Linked DNA regions of Oryzias latipes. The protein of the gene in region 1 purifies or fractionates together with the protein of each later gene. This does not show direct contact. Links are inferred from orthologs where the notes say so. Each region holds a gene or a part of one and is shown in the gene's direction. Other genes may lie near its edges.

Region 1 (3,974 bases):
TTAGAACTAAAACTAAATATTCAAACTTTATTTTACAATTAAGAGATGTGCAACAACAATCTCAAAGTAAAGGTTCTCGTCACTTGAACTGATGAAGTATGTGTTTTTAACTGGTTTTCTAGTTAAGTCAAATAAAAAGTATATTATTGTTCTGTCATGGTCATTTCCCTTAAAGTGCACATAAAGTCATCTGTCATGTCCTTGTACAGTCATTTAGCTCAAGCTCCTCCAAGTGTAAATAGGGCTTTGAACCACTCCCAGTGAAGGACAGCTGTATAATGGAAAAGATTATTACTGCTGTGTTAAACAAAGGAGGATGATACTCGTAACTTTAAAATGCTGGTATCATGTTGACAGTGTTATTTAAAATTCAGTTTTGGTTTTGTCTGCTATAAAACTTGTATTAGAACTTTGTACAGTTTTGTTTAAATACAATTGAACGAAAAATTTGAACTTTCTTAAATAAAAAAGAATGACGTTTTTTTATTCTGTGGTCAAATGTATTGGAAAAGAGACTTATTCAGGCTTCATTTGCTCTATTGGATGAGTAGTAAGCTCTGGTCTCACGTTTTTAAAATCCTTTTTCGTTAATATCTTGATTTCCACAGGATTAGGAAACAACCAAGCAGGACATCAACATTAACCAGGCAGCAAAAGTATAATAAGGGAGTATCTTTGCCAAGCAATAACAATATCTAAAATAGTAGTAATTTCAACATTAGTCTATCAGGAGCATGATCAAAACATTTGCTGCTACAAACCCTATGACCCAAGTTTTTTGGGGTCATCTGTCATTTTGTATATCGCTGGATCCTTGATATTGCTCCCAGGATAAAGCTTGAATGTTACATATTGAAACGTTAATTGCATTGCAGAAGCTTAAGTGTGAGTAAAAAGTAATGTAAAATTAGGAATTAAAGACACGGTAAAAAGAAACAATTCTAAAAAATTATACAATCTCTACATTAAACATGGTGAAAACAGAGATTTAGGCTGTTTTTATGTTCAAAATGTTGTGTAATAGACACTTCCCTTAGAAAATCTGATTATGACCAATTAACAGGGGTGCAAATAAAAAAAGTACCAGAACTTGCCATCTCAATCACATTCCCACTCAGTTGTAATGTCTCGTGTTTCCTGTAGGAGGCAGTGTACGTTTTACTGGCACATGGAACGAATGACCCGCATGCGCAGTTGGGGTTATGTTGACAATGGAGACTGAATAGCTTATCTGCATCCATAATTCAAAGTTAAATCTCTTATTAACCTGTCTCTGCTTTGTTTAGACGCGCAACTATGGGTGAGTCAAGAAGTAACAAGTTTAAATAAGAAATCCTTAAATTATAGTTAAGAATTACTATCGTACTTGCTTAAACATCTGAGATGCAAATCATGTGTAGTAAGTTTAGCAGCTTAAATTTGAAATCGTCACAAGGATAAACAGTAGGGGTTATTGATTTAGTGAGTCTGCCCCTCATTGTATGCCTTTTGCCTTCCATCATCTCTATCTATCCAAATACGGAAAAAAACAACGTCTGTGTTTAACGGCAAGCTCAGCAACAACAGAAAATAATTGCTAATAACGTAGAGATAAGTAATACATTAGACTAGAATTGCTTTGGCTGTTTTCTCCAAATATTTCTAGTAACTTGATGTCGGAATTACTTTGCGGTGCGTTGAGGACTATTTCTTTATGTAGCAATAACTTCCAGCGCTTAAAAAGCCGAACTGCATTGTGGGTGTTTTTTGTTAGTTTATTTTTATTTATTTTTATTTTTATATATTTTTTTCTTTTAAGAAAGTAATACTGACGATGCTGAGCAGAAGGAGGAGAACTTCTCATCTCCAGTCATGGACCGTAACCCTTCACCACCTCCAGAAGAAGGAGATGGACAAGAGGCTGAAGATGCGGACGCCATCGGAGACACCGTTTACAGCAAACACTGGCTTTTCAGCACCTTGACTCGCCTTATTCATGTAAGCCAGCTGTCATTGATAAAATAATCAAATTTTAACCTAATATGCTCTTTAAAAAAGAAGCTAGCTCCTTTAGCTAAATATAAACATTGACATGCATTAAAAACTATAAAAGTTTTAAAGTGGGGGTGAAACTCCAGGCCTCGAGGGCCAGCCTGCTGCTGGATTTCTAGAAATCCTGCAATATCTGCTGCAGATTACCTGGATCAGGTGTTTTTAGCCAATAAGGAGCTTCAATGGCAGGTTGGTTTGGAAAACATGTTGGGACACGGCCCCCCAAGGCCTGGATTCTGAGAACCCCGCTTTAAAGGGAGACTGCAGCTTTAAAACTTAAATAGTGTTGGTGAATGTCACTAAGTTATAATTTTTTCCCAAATTTCACTCCCTGTCTTGCAGCTTTTTCTAAAAATCTGTACAGCTAGCTGTCTCGTGTGAGTTCCTGTGCTCCACAGGGAAATCGATCCTGCCTGAATGTTGACCTTTCCTTGTAGATGGTCAGTGAACTTTCTGAAGAGAACCCCGAAGCTCAAGTGAAGCTCACCGATGATGATGAGGAAGACCTGTGCAAAGTCTGGGATATGGCCATGGATAAGGTACACTTTCCAACTGTGTCACGTTACAAAGTTTACTTGGTTTTATTAATTGAACAGCTTCCATTTAAACCAAGTTAAATATAAATAGCATTCAACCAGAACACTAAAATCCATCAAAATTACTGGTGTTAAACTTAAGTTATCCTGAAAGCAAATAAGAAGGTAAATAAGTGGTTATCTGTAAAACTTTCCACTTTAGCATTATTGAATTTAAACATAATCTATCAAAACTATTACCCACATTTATTTAATTTCAACATTGCTAATTATGTCATGTTTTACATTTCAAATTGGAATTTCTTTCCAAGTTTATGTATTTGTGGTCCTTTTTTGTGTGCTGTGTGTAGGATGTGGCCCGTTTTCTGCAAGAATTTAAAGCTGCTGATATTCTCCTTGGAGTCATATCTAAATCCCGCTGTCCACGTCTCACAGTGAGTAAAGTCTTACTTCAGATCTTGCACTCTATCTCAGAATGTAATCGGCTTTTTCAGTTTGCTTACAAGCTTTATTAATTTTCCCTGTTTTTTTTTTTTTTCATCAGGAAATTTGTGTAGGAATACTTGGAAACATAGCCTGTTTCCCTGACACTTGTGTTACTCTCAGCCAAAAGGAAGACTTGTGGTTTGTAAACACCTAAATTATTATTATTCTTTTCTCATGCTTTGTGCTAAAGTTTCTAATTGTAAAGAAAGCAACTCCCTTTGTGGCCACAGTGCTGTGCTGTTGCTTCTTCTTGGAGATGCAGATCCACCAACCCTCCTGGAAACCAGCAGGTGATATTTACACTTTTTTTTTTTTGCTTGTAAAAATGCAGATCGGTGAAAGACAAACATGCACCATCTTTCACTATGTTTGCAGATTGCTGCTAACCTGTTTATCACACAAAGATGTCTGCTCTCTGTGGATTCAGCGAATACGACAGCAGACGTCAGTGTGTCCCAACCTCTGTTTTATCATGTCCAGCTCTACCAACAGTATGGCACCGATTTCATTCAATAAAAAGCTAAATAAATAATTATAACCAGAAAAAACTTTGGCTGCAAAAAGATTTCTATTCATATAAAATGTATACTGAATGGTTCAAATATGTGAATATTTGATGTTTTTTTTTATCAGCTGATTTGCTTGAAAAAGTGGGGGACCTGGTTGATAAACTGTTTGACCTTGATGAAGAGCTGATGAAGACCTGGATCACAGATAAGCCACAAGACAAGAGGGGGGATGAAAGTGACACCCCGCTGGACTTGACCTTGTGTCTTCTAGAAGCCGTCAAGCAGCTTCGGTAAGAATTAAAGGAAAGATTCTTTATTGATCTGACATATTTGAATGATTATTAATTACTTAGCAATATTGTTGGGGTAGCATTTAAACTACCCTAAAGTGACTCAAGCTTCTCTATTTTCT
Region 2 (4,299 bases), on another chromosome or scaffold:
GAGAAAAGCGTTGGACTATTCTGAAGTGGCCTTCTATGAGCCCAGATCTGAATCCCATTGAACATCAGTGGAAGGAGCTGAAACATGCCATTTGGAGAAGACACCCGTCAAACCTGAGACAACTGGAGCAGTTTGCTCATGAGGAGTGGGCCAGAATACCTGTGGACAGGTGCAGAAGGCTCATTGACAAATACAGAAACTGTTTCATTGCAGTGATTGCCTCAAAAGGTTGTTCAACAAAATATTAAGTTATGGGTACCATCATCTATGTCCAGCCCTATTTCATTAGTTTTCTTTTTTTTAATAATTCTGTTAATCAACAACTCAAGTAATGGCTGATTTTGATTATTTGATTTTTAATACATTTTAATTTGTTACTTTTGAACGTTTCAAGTCATTTCAGTGAGCATTAGGGACTTTCTTTCTCTAACTGAGGGCTACCAACAATTTTGTCCACCACTGTATGTCCTTGATCATGAGAAAAATGCCACATGAACATGTTAAAAACACCAAAAACAGTTTTCACTGGCATGGCTCTTTAAATATTTAATTAAAAATGACAACATTTTATTAACTAAAGGAACTGGATCAAAACCACAAACCTAATCTTTATTCAAGGGTTAATAAAGCCCAGAGTGGCTCCAAAACCTCAGGTTGCAGAGTCCTGAGTTAAGGATTTGTCTTTAGTTAACGCTTTTCATTTCACATGTCCGTCTTCAGTGGTAGATGAATGAATGGACATTTAGTTTTCCATGATATATATTGACACTGTGACACCAAGTGTTGTTCATGACCTGCTTCCTCTGAAAAACAGGTTCTATAAAGGCACAAAGAGAGTACCATTTTGTTTGATGAAAAGCCCAAATCTTTAAAGCATGTAAACAATTTCTAAGCAGTCAAGTAACTTTCTGATCACACACCAGCAAGCAATCAGACCTTAGAAAAGACAAAGGAGGTGATGCTCCCTCCTTTCAACTTTAATAATACTAATAATAATACTAATAATAATAATACTAATAATAATATTTATCATAATTATGGAAGGACTGGTTTAGCTAAATATATTTATTTACAAAGCTCCACCTCTCCAGGTGAAACGAAGGAGAGGTTTCTAAAACAAAAGGTCAAGTTCACTGAAATCCGACCAGACAATCCCGCAACATTCGAGGGACAAAGTGAAATCCTAAATTTTGAGCCAACCTTGAACGCATCTTCACACAGGTGTTTTAAGCTTCTTATGAGCTGCTATAATAGGATGGAAACATTAACGACAGAAGAAACGTATTTATCAAATATCTTTTTAAGGCTTTTACATTTTACTGAAGTATTTTATGCTTTTAAAAAGCACAAGAAATCATGAGTTCGCTGTGCTGTCGTGCACTAAACGCCATTACCCATAACCCCTTGAGGGGTATGCTTGATATGTCGTCTTAATAGGTTTGCGAAGGCACGCCCAAACTTCCCACTGACAACCATCTTGCCCCCGCCCCCCCAAATGCATGTCGGGATACTCTGTAAGGTAAAGCTAACCTGCGCGTCCACAGTCTTTCAGTTTGCTAACATCAACTCAACTGTTGTTAAAAGAGTAAATCGAGCCGGAAAAATGTCTTCTGCACAGTTTGTAAGTGAATTTATTACATTTCTGGCGTGTTTTTTAAGCAAGTACCAATATTTAAACATGCTGTTCTGGACAGAAGAGTTTGTCTTTTGTGATTGAACCAGTTAGTCTGCTTTAATACTAGTTCTTCTTGCTGTAGTTATCACGGACATCACAGTTGATTAAGAATGAATGAACTGCGATTGGGGAGTATTATAGGAAGTTACCCCTAGCAAAAAGTAGTCTAGTCTATGTTTAAGTTAAACAGAGGCAGTATACTTGAAGGCTGCTTTTCAGATACTATAGTAAACTTAAAATGTTTCAATTTGGTCTTTAGATAGAAGTATTCAATTAGCATACTTCCTACACTGGTACACATACGTGGTCTAGTATATTTGCCAAGCCTATACTCAAGTAAAAGTAATAAATACACTTGTAATGTAGTACTTTTTGCTAAGGATAGACTTTTTGTAGTTCTTGTTTATTCATGTTGTAGATTATGCATTGGTACATTCCCTCATTTAGAATGTACGGTGGCTCAGAAGGGTCACAGCACAACACTTTCACAACACAAAATAACACTACAATTCGTCACAACACTAAAAAAAATTAACTCACAACACCAAATAATAACTCACAACACTTTAACTCACTGAATTAAAGTGTTGTGAATTGTTGTTTTGTGTTGTGAGTGATTTTTTTTTTTAATGTTGTGACAAATTATAGTGTGTTATTTGGGTGTGCGAAATCTAAAGTGTTGTGACCCTTCTGGGCCACTGTAAGAATGCATTTACACTTATTACTGTGAAATCAGTGTCTTCCTCCAGCATTTGTGTACATCCAGGTGTTGTTGTGTTAGCATCCAGGTAAAGTGCCAGATCAACACAGGCGGGTCACTGTCAAACACAACCCTGGATTCCTGGAGAAACTGGGCGACACTGCAGGAGGAACAGTCCTCGGTATTGGACTGTTTTTTCTCTCGATCTATGTTCTTTTCACCAACGAGGTAAGGAGCACGGCTCTGTCAGTCATCAGATGAAGCCGCCACGGGTCTGGATCGTCACCTGTCGGGTTTCTCCGTCTGTTTCTTCAGGGTCGGGCTCTGCAGACCGCATCCTCCCTGGATGAAGGTTTCTCTCAGGTGGTGTCTCTGGGGCCTCACCCCGACCTAGAACTGCAGAACAATCAGCGTTTAGTTCACCTGTCTGCAAAGCTCCACACCTTTCAGGTAGAACCCAATGAGCGCTGCTGCTGTGCAGAAGTTACCTTTGTTCTGGATCGTTGATGTTGATTTTGAAAATTCTTAATCCAGTGTCATTGACAAATGATGAAATATCTCTTTATTTCTATGCTTCTGTCCTAAACTACTGTAATAGCATTTGAATAATAACCTTTTTTTAATACAAAGGGGATTTAAGGTAAAAAAAGGTGGGACTTTAATGACAAAATTCAGAGTTTTTACCAATGACTATAGAAGAACTGGGCTGAGTGAGTGTGACATCAGCCAGAAAAAATGACTTTCTTCCTGCTCCAACAAAATGAAGTCAATTCTTTAGAACTACGGATGTGACCACGTTGGAGCCAGAGATGGTCAGTAAGCAGTGATTGGGCCAAGTCGGTCTCAGTCAACGCTTGTCAAGCTGTCCGCTCAGTGATGAGCTTGTTGGAAAGCCACTTCTATCACTGAAAGCGTGCTTAGGAGAATCTGTCAATCAAAATTTGTGAAGGTTCGACATGCGACATCCTGTTGTGCTCCACATACTTTCATCGAAGCATCTGATTGGCCAGTTTAGAACTTGCAGTAAAGAAAAAATATCATGAAAAAAATAAGTTCTCCCTGCTCTCAACAACAGGCGGGGGAAAGGGGGGCGGGGTTGCTCTGCGCCAACCGTCCTGCCTGCAACTGAGAGGCAAATTTCTGATAAACTCCTGCCGCTATGCAGAAACTGTCCTGAAGAATGAAAGTTTTTTTTTTTGATTGTCTGTAAAAACGGCACAATCATAATGAAAAGAGCGCTGGGACTTACAGTGTTAATGTGCATCTCTGTGTGTGCAGGCTCTTCATGACCCCAACTACAAGGTGGTGGTGCAGGCGGTGAAGCTGAAGAGGGAGGTGGAGATGTATCAGTGGGTGGAGTACAGGGAGAGCAGGTCAGTGTTGCAGGACCAAGTTCAAGAATGTAGGGATCTGCCAACATGTCAGAGTTTTTCAAATGAACTTTCAGAGACTATCAGGAGAACGGAGAATCCAAAACAGAGACCACTTACACCTACAGTGAGTGGCTCCCCCCTTATTTCTCCTCTTTGGCTGCGATTGGCTTTGGCCCCGGAAAGATGTGCTTCTCTTTGTTTTGCTCCAGACACTGAGTGGAAGTCGGAGCTGATCAACAGCAGGAATTTTGATCAAGAAATAGGTCACCAAAACCCCAGGTATGCCATGATGAAGACCAGACCTCCACGTGTGTGTGATGTAACTTGACATGTCCCTTTCATGGAAGTGCCATGGCGGTTGAGAGTGTGACAGTGGTGGCTCCTGCAGTCCAGGCTGGACCTTTCACTTTGTCTAAAGGTTGTTGTTGTTTTTGAGCCAACAATCCAACCTGTGGTGCAGACGCTGCACTCAGATGTAATTCTTTCTCCATGGCTCAACCTCAGGTTTGGTGGACCAAATCAACAAGTTCCAGACTCTGAGTCTGCGGGCT

What was found.
Region 2: the proteins of saal1 (region 1) and tmem43 purify together in Homo sapiens (affinity purification with mass spectrometry; 3 studies listed by BioGRID and IntAct, with this or other methods). This does not show direct contact. The link is inferred for Oryzias latipes from reciprocal best matches to the Homo sapiens genes SAAL1 and TMEM43.

What each region holds. Positions count from the first base shown.
Region 1 is NC_019864.2:15,654,559-15,658,532, reverse strand, and holds the start of saal1 (protein SAAL1), read left to right. Parts: upstream 1-1,168; 5' UTR 1,169-1,296; coding exon 1,297-1,300; intron 1,301-1,798; coding exon 1,799-1,977; intron 1,978-2,468; coding exon 2,469-2,570; intron 2,571-2,917; coding exon 2,918-3,001; intron 3,002-3,111; coding exon 3,112-3,191; intron 3,192-3,283; coding exon 3,284-3,343; intron 3,344-3,428; coding exon 3,429-3,544; intron 3,545-3,686; coding exon 3,687-3,852; intron 3,853-3,974. UniProt on the Homo sapiens protein: Plays a role in promoting the proliferation of synovial fibroblasts in response to pro-inflammatory stimuli.
Region 2 is NC_019863.2:1,702,870-1,707,168, reverse strand, and holds the start of tmem43 (transmembrane protein 43), read left to right. Parts: upstream 1-1,488; 5' UTR 1,489-1,495; coding exon 1,496-1,621; intron 1,622-2,456; coding exon 2,457-2,603; intron 2,604-2,690; coding exon 2,691-2,825; intron 2,826-3,653; coding exon 3,654-3,748; intron 3,749-3,822; coding exon 3,823-3,872; intron 3,873-3,957; coding exon 3,958-4,027; intron 4,028-4,095; coding exon 4,096-4,166; intron 4,167-4,252; coding exon 4,253-4,299. UniProt on the Homo sapiens protein: May have an important role in maintaining nuclear envelope structure by organizing protein complexes at the inner nuclear membrane. Required for retaining emerin at the inner nuclear membrane.